Neodiprion lecontei: one gene and its partner. The main gene of each other region encodes a partner of the protein of the gene in region 2 in a complex. Links are inferred from orthologs where the notes say so. Each region holds a gene or a part of one and is shown on either strand. Other genes may lie near its edges.

Region 1 (5,210 bases), on a different chromosome or scaffold from region 2:
TAACCATTATTCCCCAGTATCAAATTCGCGCCAATTAACAAATTGTGGAAATGAACCTTCTTTCGTTTAATCAGCGAAGGTGGCACTTTCAACAAAATCCCCTGCGAAAGTTTTCCATACTTCAAAACCCTTGTGTGCAATGACAGCGAACCATCAGCGAAGACATTTTGCACCTCTGCACATATCAAATCACCCTCCTGCAAGTAACGTCGCATCGTTTGTTCATCCTCTGCTGATCTCCGCCTCTGAAAGGTATTTTTGAATAATGACAGACATTCTACATAGGAATGAATGTGCCGTACTCCTTAAGTGAGAAGTTGGAAATAGAGAAAAGAACCGTTAAAAAAATTTCCAGCAGTGTTGTTTGCGTCAATGATAGTGAACACAAATGTCCGAATCTAAAGATTTTGGATTCATTTTGTTCACTGACTAGACCACCCTTGCAAATTGTCTGGTAAACATTCCAGAAATCTTCAAAATCAACAAAATAAGGTCAGAACATTAAATTAGAATCACCAAGCACCAGAGTTCAATCATTCTGAATGTTTTAAATATTAAACTTTTTCTCATATTATTGATATTTCAGCTTGTGTTAATCAAATTTACTTCCAACTATTACTATTAACGAAGCTGAAGTTAGTAACGTTACCGTAATCAAAAAGCAGGGAAAAAATAATTATATTGTTCAATTTAAGAATGATTTTCAACGAGTTGGCTTTTCAAGATATGAATAGGTTTTGTTTATTATGGTTTACTAAATTTTAAACAATCCTGAAGATGCGAAGTAACGATTTTTCCCGACCACGCATCGTTGCAATAACTTTACCAACTTCATCCTTATTACTATTACTCAGTTAGGATGTTGCTTCATCCGTGTTCACCATCATTGGTGCATATAACATAGTAGGTGATTTTTCGAACGGAATTTTCGCTTTTCCAATTATCATTGAGACAGTAAGGCCCATTTAACCTTAAGGTCTTGTAATACTACCTTTACCGACGGAACAAATTCACCCTTTTTTTTTCTATATTAAAAAAACAAAAAAACGGAAAGGGTTCAAATTTCGATGATGTATCGCTCTTTTGTAGCGGCATTCAGGAAAATTACTCATATCGCGAAAATCGTCAATGTCAATAGTTACACATGTCAAGAAACCATACTTTTTTTTCATGATTTTCGGGATATACATAAGAAAAGATGCACCGTCAAAATTTAAACCCTTTTCGTTCGTCTGTGTATTTAATATAGGGATAAAAAGGGTGAGTTTGCTCGGTCAGTAAAGATAGAAGTACTACATGACCTTAAGTGCAGTAAATCACATATAGGTAAACACTCGTTCTTAGAAACATCTCAAGTTCAGAGTAATATTCGAAATATGGTTTGTAACGTTGATGTAACAACATATGTCTGAGAAATCACGTTATTTCACAAAATTGGGATTGTTCGGAAAACAAAAAATTTTAATAAGGCAGTAAGGCAACCTAGTGCTGCACAACAGTGATTACTTTTCAGTATTGTAATAACATTGTTACTAAATTGAACTTCGTTGTAAAAAAAACACTAATCTTGTTTTGCATGGAGATTGTAGAGAAAATTGATGGGGTAATCAAACCTACCAATTCTCCACCAGGAAGATTGACACTGGATAAAAGTAGGGCCGAATCCAATTTTGAGTTAGTATCAACCTTCCAGCGTTTTTGCTGAAGCTCTGTAATTCGGCCGACAATTACATCTCCAATTTCACCTTGGTATCGTGCCTTCAAAGGTTTCACAGATATCAGTTTATTCACTTTTTCTAGCACACCAGCGACGGATGCGCGCAGCGTGTCATTGTCATCCATGTATGTCCCATGACCTCTTTATAACATTACAATACACAGAATTGAATTCAAAGTTAATGAATTTCAAATCATGAGTCCTCTTTGTACATAATTGGTGATATAGCTTGAATTTAAATAGGATTAAGAACTTTCATGCATAACACTCTGCAGACATTCATTCATCCAATCAAGCTCAGTGATTTTGCTTTACCCAGAAAATAAAAAAAAATAAAAGGTATATTAGACCGTTTTGAAACAGATTTGTTTTGATGGCTGTAAACCCCGATTTTCAGAAGAAAACTGATGGCATGATACAAAGGTTAAACTAAATCAATCATTTTATAGTTTTGAATAATTGCCTACGGTTTTGATTTAATTTCTTTTTTATTACGATCATAATATCATTAAGACTCAATTCAATTTATACTGTATAATCACATCTCTATCCATTTTCATTTGATTGTTTTGTACACTTTTAAATTCACTTGAAATGCAGTTTGATACGTCATTGTCAAATCAAGTTCAATCCATTTATTTCTGTTTAATTACTGCAACAGGTTAAATCCATGTTAATCAGTGAATAGCATTAGTGCGTTGATGGTTTTCGTATCGATCTTTATTGTGGAAATTCAAATTGCTATAACTCCAATTCAATCTATGACAAGATTCCGAATTCTGAAATATAATTGCTCATATATTTTGACCTACACTCTACTTGTATTTAATAGATTCCAATGACTATAACTGTAATGATACCTGATACCTGATAACCAGCCTTTATTGGTACAGAAACTACGGTTGGAACGGATTCAACTAGTAATCCAAGCTTTTATAACAATTGCAATTTTATTTTTTGGATTTTCTATTGATCAATTAAAATGGATTTAATCTTCACTCGTTTATTGGGTGATGCGTCACACGGGATCTGGTTGGACTGTGTAAGGAGTATTATTGGAAAAAGCGGGAAAATAGGTATAAGCGGATTTAGCACATTCCTCAATAGGTAATAGCCACTAGGGAGATAGAAGAGCTCATTGGATAAGATGGATTATGATGTACCTCATGAAGTCAGGCTGACTACACACCTCTTCACCGGGTGTATAATATCTGGGCATCCCATGGTCACCGTTAGATAAATTCGTATTTGTGCGATGAACTGCCAGCCGCACGCGGATCATGTCTTCATCATTCATTTTCAGGTTATGTACTGTATCCTCAAGTATTCTTGTAGAAGAAACACACTGTTTAATTATTGCGGATTCTTATGACGGTTAATAAAGTTTTTCAAATCGTATGGACAATTTAAAATTAAAACAACTGATTGTAATACTTTCATACTTTGTACTAGCTCACTATTGGTACTGCAGGATAGGCTGGAGATACGCGCTGAATTGCAAAACAAAATAAGCTGTTGTTGCCAAATTCATAGAGGTATATAACAAGTATATATGCTTATTTATGTTGCCAGCCATCAGGGGCAGCGTAACAAGCAATGCCGGCGCTGCGATAGGTTGTTGGTTTATAACCTTCGGTTCAACCAGGTTAAAGCGGTAAACTCGGTTTTAATGTCAAGGTGTGGAGGTTGTGGACCGGGCCTAACTCTACAAAAGTACACTTTAAAATGGGAGCTGGATCCATTGGGTGCTTTCCATTTACTAACTCAAGTCGACTTGTGTCGCTATTTCTGGTGTATTCCTTTGCCCAGATTGGCCGGTTACACCAGAAATAGCGACACGAGTCGATTTGAGTCAGTAAATGGAAAGCAACCATTATATTCATAGGTAGGTACACTTTCGCATTCGACCGACTGTGGCGCTGTAGGTTTCTCTGTGTTGCCCATAGATTTATAAAGATAGAGCGAGCGCTCTTGTGAGCCGCTTGAATCAAACATTTGAAGGACAGAAATATGCCGGGAGTACTCCTTTCTCTCTCTGACGATATTTCTGGCGGGGATAGAGGCGGTAGAGGAGAATGAGGCGAAATTATGCGCCTATATCTGTAGCTGTTCCACTGCCCCGTTGTCTCCCACCATGAGGCCGATTGAAAAGAGAGAGCAGTACTCCTGGTATATCTTTGTCCTTTATATGTAATTGTCAGTGCCTTTTATAGGAGCGCTCAGTCTATTTTTATAAGTCTATGGTGTTGCCAAGGTCCCTAGATTAGACAGGTCAAGACAAGTGTGGGCAAAAAAAAAAATTAGTGAGAATGCGCCAAAAGTTTCGTATGACAATGGATGCTTTCCAGTTTGAGCACAATATGACACGGTGTAAACATTTCTGGTCTATTCCTTTGCCCGGATTGGCCGCTTACAATAGAAATTTGTACGCTGTGTCACACTGTGCTCTAAATTGAAAGCACTTGGTGTGGTTCTGATTTCTGACCTGTCACAATGATTAACCTCAAAATATATACGTGCTTCTATTTATTTCGTGAACGTCAGGACACTAGGGGCGCAACTCGTTAATGCTTAACCTCAAAACATTGAACAAGATTGGTCAAAACTGGTTAATGCGGTAATGTAAGTTTGATGTTTTTTGGGCGAACGTGCATAGAACATTTTTTCCCACGTTATAGTGAGAAAAACTGGAACAAACGTGTCTTGACCTTCCTAATCTAGGGACCTTGCTCATCCTTACCGACGCATGAGGTCCCTGGCGGATTTCCGTCGTACTAAGACATAATAATCACAGAGCTCAACACAGGGAGTATGAGGCAGTCGGACCACCTCTTATTCTTATACCGTGGATTACTCACATTCATTAATTGAAAGTTTTCTGATCTAAAAGGCACTGCAGTTGTTTCTCGAAGCGGGTGTATTCGCGGCGTTACGATTATCTTACGTTATTTATTATAAGAATAATAAAGAAATGGCAGCGATTAGTCTCCTAAACCCGAAAGCTGAGTTTGCACGAGCGGCTCAAGCTCTGGCTGTTAATATATCGGCAGCAAAAGGCATCCAAGATGTGATGAGAACAAACCTGGGACCGAAAGGGACTATGAAGATGTAAGTCGATTTCGCCGCACATGTGATCACACAAACCACCAACCTATGTCAATTCGTCGGCGCTGTCTCAATCGCCAAAATAATAATTTGCTCTATCTGTTACAATGAGCCTTCATTCCGTTCTCAATCATAAAATCCAAGCTCATGTATTGTAGCCAATTAACGTATCAAAATTTATGTCCATATAAGGTCATCCACAATGATTACATCCACTTATATACACGTACACCCATAGAGGCCTTATACTGATTTTGGTTTTAAACGCCGAAAATAGTGATAAATGTTGTTCAGACCTATTATTGAGTAGTTGTAAAGGCAAATTGTATTTTATAATTATTACTTTATCCGAGTGCTGAAATGTCTTCAAACTTATGATAATAGAAAT
Region 2 (5,841 bases):
ACGCAGGCGAAAGGAGTCCGAAGAGGATTCGGGTGAAACTGATAACGATCTGCCAGAAGCTGACCTTTTTCAGCTTCAAGTCGGAACTTTGCGCCGTTACAAACGTCACTACAAAATCTCAACACGACCTGGACTGAACAAAGCTCAACTAGCAGATGTAAATTGAATTTCCATTATTTATCATCTTGAAAAATCATACAACCAGCTATAGATGGATGCGGAGAAAGACTACGAATGTCAACTAATGCTTATTTTGCTTTGCAATGTTACAGACGCTCATGAAACATTTCAAGACAATTCCTGTCGTGGAAAAAGAAGCTCTCACATTCTTCATATTCACTGTTAAGACTAATGCTAATAAGTTAGATCAGAAGAATGGATTGACCAGTGAACCTACGTAACATGGACTTGTCACTCGGTGTCCTCTACACTTACATTGGAAATCGTATGGCAAGGTATATCGAATAGATTGCTTTCGACACAAAACTAAGATAGATTGATAGCCCTAGAAACATTATGAAAATATTTAAATCTAAATGTGATATTTATTTTCCCTCAATTCTTATGATTGAGATTATTATATTATATATCAATGTATTTTTAATTTATTTCTAAGAATATAAATATCCACTTTTCAAACTAAGTAAAAAAAATTCGTTATACGGAATAATAATTTATCCACTTTAATTCTATACAATTGAGCTGATTTCGAAATTAATTTTTTTGTAAATTATACATGAATTGAACGTATCCATATATGGAACTAAAAAAAATGGTTTACTTTTCAAAATCGTTGTTCACAACGGAATATCGTGCTTCTGCCTTTTTTTTCAAACATCAATTCGATTTACTTGAACAATTCAGTGTAAATTCTCTCAGGGAATAAATCAACTAACGCGAAGTGCAATAGTATCGACGAATTAAGGGAAAATGTTTGGTGATATTGAATTTAGATGGGAATACGGATGAACTTTATAGAGGAGAGGCAGCCAAATGGGCTCTCTGTACATTCAAATGAGATTTAAAAAATTTTCGATAACGCTTGAAATGTAGGCTTAGGCTAAAGACGAAAAAAATAGCGCTATCGAAACTGTTCTAATGTTATTTCCCCTTAGGGGACCCATTTTGCCCGCCGCTCCCCTACATAGTACCTAAAAATATTTGCAGATAAGATTTATGGTGTACCTTATTCGACCCAGATACATTTTTATATAAAAAAATCGTGTTGCTTTTTCACTCCCTTTCGCAAAAAGTTCTTCATTTTCGGTATGTCTTTACACAATTTAAGTTCGCTGATTGTGAAATAAAATATAGAATAAAAATGGTGTACAGAGCAAACAGTTCACATCACAAATTCTTCATAATTTTAATTGATGTATCATCACAAGCTTTGTACTCTGATAAATTTATAAATGCATGTTTTGAAACGGGGAATGAGAGAAATTGTCGTGTGGAAATGAATGCAAGAAATGTTTGGGATCATTTTTCTATTAAACTACATGATATCATTTTTGCTGACGGTTACAGTATCTTCCTCTTCGCTGTCACCACCTAAATCTGTAAAAGTATTGCTTTTGAAGTGTTTATGAATTATTAATAAGTAGTTACGTATGCTGTGTAAAATTTCCGAAACTGAACTTGTCTAAAGTACTTGACAAAAAAGTTTTATCGTTATTAGGGGAAAAAAATGAAGTCACTGAATGTAATCGTATAAAATGCTCGACCTGGAAAGCTTTTGAGTATATTCCAAACTAAATCTAGAAAAGTTATTGGGTATTTTAAATTTGGCAAATAACAGAAAAGGTTACCTATATCGTCCAACACTTTTTTCTCTAGTTTCGTTTCCTGTAAGATTTCAATATCTTCGATTTCATCATCAGAGGATTCTTCAGATGCCTGCCAAGTATTGGGGCCTCCCTCTCCGACTGATTTACTCTGTTACAAAAGTAATAACACGAATAGTTTCGAGTCACGAAAATTATACAGTGCGAAATTAGATGATTGAACTTGGTAAAAATTTAAGTTCAGCACTTTAAACTAAATATTTATATCAGGTCAACTCGTTTGAATAACTAAGATTGAAGTATGCTAATTTTGTCATTGACAACGAATACAAGAAAATGTGTACCATATTAGTAATGAGCTCAGCAGATCCATGCCCAAGTGTTTTAATATTGTCATCCTCATCTTGGAAATCACTGGTCTCCATATCTGAAAACGAAATTTTACAAAACCCCAAATTATAATATAAATAACAGCAAATGCGATATTACAAATTTTCAAAGAGTGGGAATTTTTGATATTTACTCCAACCACTGATCTCTTATGAATTTTGATTGCCAAGCTATAGTAAACATCATTAATGCAAACTAGGCCACTAATCTCACCACTTTTGGGGCTGCTTTTCCCAGCAACCCAGTGCGCAAGTTTAATACTGAGCTTAGGTTTTGTCATTGCCGTCAATTTTCCGAATGTAATGCATTCCTTCAATCGACATACATCGCGATCTTCTTTGTTGTACCTGAAATTGTATAAATATTACAATTGTTGGCCGGTACAAGTTCTTACCAAGATTTACATTCCGGATGCAGAAACGCTTTTGAACTCTTGAAATGAAGCCAACCTACTTTGCTTCAACATCTTGCTGTGCTGCTTTTCTAATCTGCGTAACTAATTTGTTAGCATAATTAGCTGCATGGGGCGAAATGCTCGGCACCACATCAGCCGTCACAGATGTCTTGCCCAAATAGCAGAGCTGCAAGCTGCAGAGCTCTCTGTAAGAGTTTAATCCTAGGGTTAATTGCGATGCACCTACTCTCTCTTCCATGTAAGTAGGATCCATAACGATTTGGCCACTGAAAAAGATTAAAATGCTTTTAGCTTGAAGTAAACTGAGAAATGACTATTTGATTGTAAATTAACAAATTCTCTCTTCACCTTTCAAAGACAATAAACGAAACGCATACTGGATAGTGATGTAACGTTAGCGGGAGCGGATCTTTCTCGGCAAACGAATGGATAGTTATTGAATCACCAGTGGTAGTGACATCCGGTCTGTGAAAATGTGTCAGTGCAGCTAGTATAGCGATTGAAGCGCAATCGACAAGGTTGCCGTCGTGATTGAGAATGTTGACATCTACCCGCAGGTTCCATACCTACGTAAATCATTACTAACTATGCAGCATTCTCACATTGCACTAATCAAAGAACTTAGCGCAAAGCAATTGATGCAAAAATATTCTTTTCGAGTTAATTCGGCCGCATTAAAATCACCTTCTCATCTGCTACAATGCAGAGAGACTCCAAGTCGACGCATCTAGAATCTTTAAAGCATTTTTCCAACTGCCTGTTGACTTGCATTGCAAGTTCAGATTGTCTGCCTGCTTCAAAGTGTGGGGCAGCTATAGGATTGAACTCAACGTTGATATGAAGCATGCCTTCATTTGGACGCGATGCCTTTGGCTGCTGAATATCACAGGATACTTGGGCAATTGCTCTGAAAAATGTACAGCCAGTGACAAATATGAATTTTTAAGCAGTAACATAAGATGTAACGCCTTACTTAGTTTCACCCAAAGCTACGTGACAACAGCCCCAGTTTGCTCCAAAATGGATTTCCACTGGTCGAGCTTCCAATAATTGTCGTCCATCTAAACGCTGAATAAGATAATTAGGAAAACCCATTAATGATAGGTTAGAAACTAGTTAACGTAGCAATAATTTTGTTCTAACCGTGGAGGATATACGGGTAGAATCAATATTGATATAGGTTTGAAATACGTACACTTTATAAAGTCAAGACCAACAATAAGTAGAAAAAAAAACGTGCTGTAACAAGAGGTTATGAATAGTACAATTCTGACTTACCGTGTCTTCGGCTATTGCTCTATTTATAAAATTTCGTTCACAATTTGATAACGGCGTTTCCCTCATTCTGTATAAATTTATTTGCGAACGCTTTCACACAATTTATTTTAATTTCTTTGTAAATGTATAACAACAAATCGTATCTTATCTTCGACTCGTTCGAAATTCAAACCAATAAAGAATGCGAACCGTATGGACTTTACTCCACGGTTAGTAGGTCGGAGGAAATTACAGTATTCTGTTTCACAGACGTGATTTTACACTGGGATTCTGTAAAACGGGGCGGCAAGTGCAGAGCGATAATATTGCCCCCCGAATATAAGGGTTGAACCAAAGAGGAATGGTATATCTTCAGTCAACGCACTCACGATTAGATGAAAGAAAAAATTGCATTCGATTGATTTATAACCAGTCTCTTATTTTTATTGCCAACGCTTGAGCAGGAGTTGAATTTACATGCGTAGGATTCGCGTACCTCAGATTGCATCGTGAAGACGATTCTTAACTAAACTCAACTAAAATAAAACTAGGATATCAATATTTTTATAAAATAACAACGGATGCAACCTCAGAGAAAGAATTTTTTTGCTCAATACCAAGAAACACTTGGATGCTTGATGTCGATCAGCGTCCGGTCTGAAAGGCAGACGTGATGAACTTGACATTACCTGGCGTTAATTGACATCGAGAATCCATTCGCAATACACCAAATAAAAAATGATGGAATGTAGAATAGCTCACAGAATGGAGGTGTTTCATTGTCAATTACTGCTTTTGGAAGAGTAAAAAAATAATGCCCCGGGTGAGGATCGAACTCACGACCTTAAGATTATGAGACTTACGCGCTGCCTACTGCGCTACCGAGGCTCCGAGGTTATACGTTGGGTGCAACAAACGTTTCCACCAGCGTTTTATTTATGACAACTGTTTCACGATTAGGTTTTCTCTTCGAGATTATCCAGGTTTATTTATTATTATTATTCGGTTTAAATTCAATTCGAATTGAAGAAAAATATGATCTACAAAAAAGGGAATTTAAGCCAATTTGTTATCTCGACGAAAAAAAGTAAAACTTGTTACCTCAAAAAATCATTTCTTATTCCCATGATGGAAAACTGATATTTTCAGTATTTTCCATGACCAAATTAAAAATCCCCTGAAAATTCTAGGTTTTTTAATGATCCCTTTTAAAATACCCTGGCATTTCCAGTTTTTCCAGGTGTGTGTTGTCACCCATCAATTGTTTGGTACGTAGAATGCTTTTTTTGCTTCTGACAAACATATGGGACACTTGACATCGGGTGATGTATATAACCTTTTAAAATTGTTTAAATACTTTACAATCAATTCTATGATACAAATGTGGGTATTTGCTGAAATTATTCTATACCGACAAATATCGCGAATGAATATCTAGCCAGATAGATTAGTCAACTGACAATGAGCGAGCGTATTGAAAAACCAGCTAAGCCTTCGGGAGGTTTAAAGCACGGAGAGTCAGAGGGTAGATCAGCACAAGTCGAAGAGGACGAATATGATCCTTTTTTACATCGATCCCAGGAAAATTTAAATTCGTGAGTACGTTGTACTTCCTGTAGCCCGTAATGTGCATACGCTACGCTGGTGAAAATGATTTCTATAACGTTTTTCTTCAAATTGTTAGGGATGTTCGGAAATTTCGTACAATTTTGTGCAAAAAATTGTATTCCTACAAAATTGTACATGTGCATAGGTTCTCAAGAAAACTCGTCAATTTTACCATGAAAATTTGTATTTCTTTCAATAAAAGAATTTACAAGCTACTACAATTGTTAACGAAAATTAACAATTCGTCGAGAAATGATACGAAATGTTCCGACTTGCGTAAAAATTCGTAGTTGTAGAAATTTTCTCCAGGGTATAAGACACAAACGTTTGCATGGCTTGTTACACGCTTCGAAGACACCGCGCGTGTAAGTCTGAAATATTTATTGC

What was found. Proteins that work in one complex are often made in the same cells at the same time.
Region 1: exosome complex component RRP45 (region 2) and exosome complex component RRP4 share a complex: the UniProt entries of both Homo sapiens proteins name them as parts of the RNA exosome core complex. The link is inferred for Neodiprion lecontei from reciprocal best matches to the Homo sapiens genes EXOSC9 and EXOSC2.

What each region holds. Positions count from the first base shown.
Region 1 is NC_060261.1:25,394,716-25,399,925, forward strand, and holds the start of exosome complex component RRP4, read right to left. Parts: upstream 3,286-5,210; 5' UTR 3,160-3,285; exon of another isoform or gene 3,046-3,159; 5' UTR 3,015-3,045; coding exon 2,881-3,014; intron 2,838-2,880; exon of another isoform or gene 2,585-2,837; intron 1,859-2,584; coding exon 1,618-1,858; intron 246-1,617; coding exon 1-245. Other genes in the region: T-complex protein 1 subunit zeta, read left to right, coding at 4,689-4,825. UniProt on the Homo sapiens protein: Non-catalytic component of the RNA exosome complex which has 3'->5' exoribonuclease activity and participates in a multitude of cellular RNA processing and degradation events.
Region 2 is NC_060265.1:3,641,138-3,646,978, reverse strand, and holds exosome complex component RRP45, read right to left. Parts: upstream 4,229-5,841; 5' UTR 3,934-4,228; coding exon 3,868-3,933; intron 3,658-3,867; coding exon 3,563-3,657; intron 3,497-3,562; coding exon 3,274-3,496; intron 3,156-3,273; coding exon 2,938-3,155; intron 2,856-2,937; coding exon 2,628-2,855; intron 2,522-2,627; coding exon 2,388-2,521; intron 2,212-2,387; coding exon 2,129-2,211; intron 1,936-2,128; coding exon 1,809-1,935; intron 1,558-1,808; coding exon 1,496-1,557; 3' UTR 734-1,495; downstream 1-733. Other genes in the region: histone deacetylase complex subunit SAP30 homolog, read left to right, coding at 1-157, 273-401. UniProt on the Homo sapiens protein: Non-catalytic component of the RNA exosome complex which has 3'->5' exoribonuclease activity and participates in a multitude of cellular RNA processing and degradation events.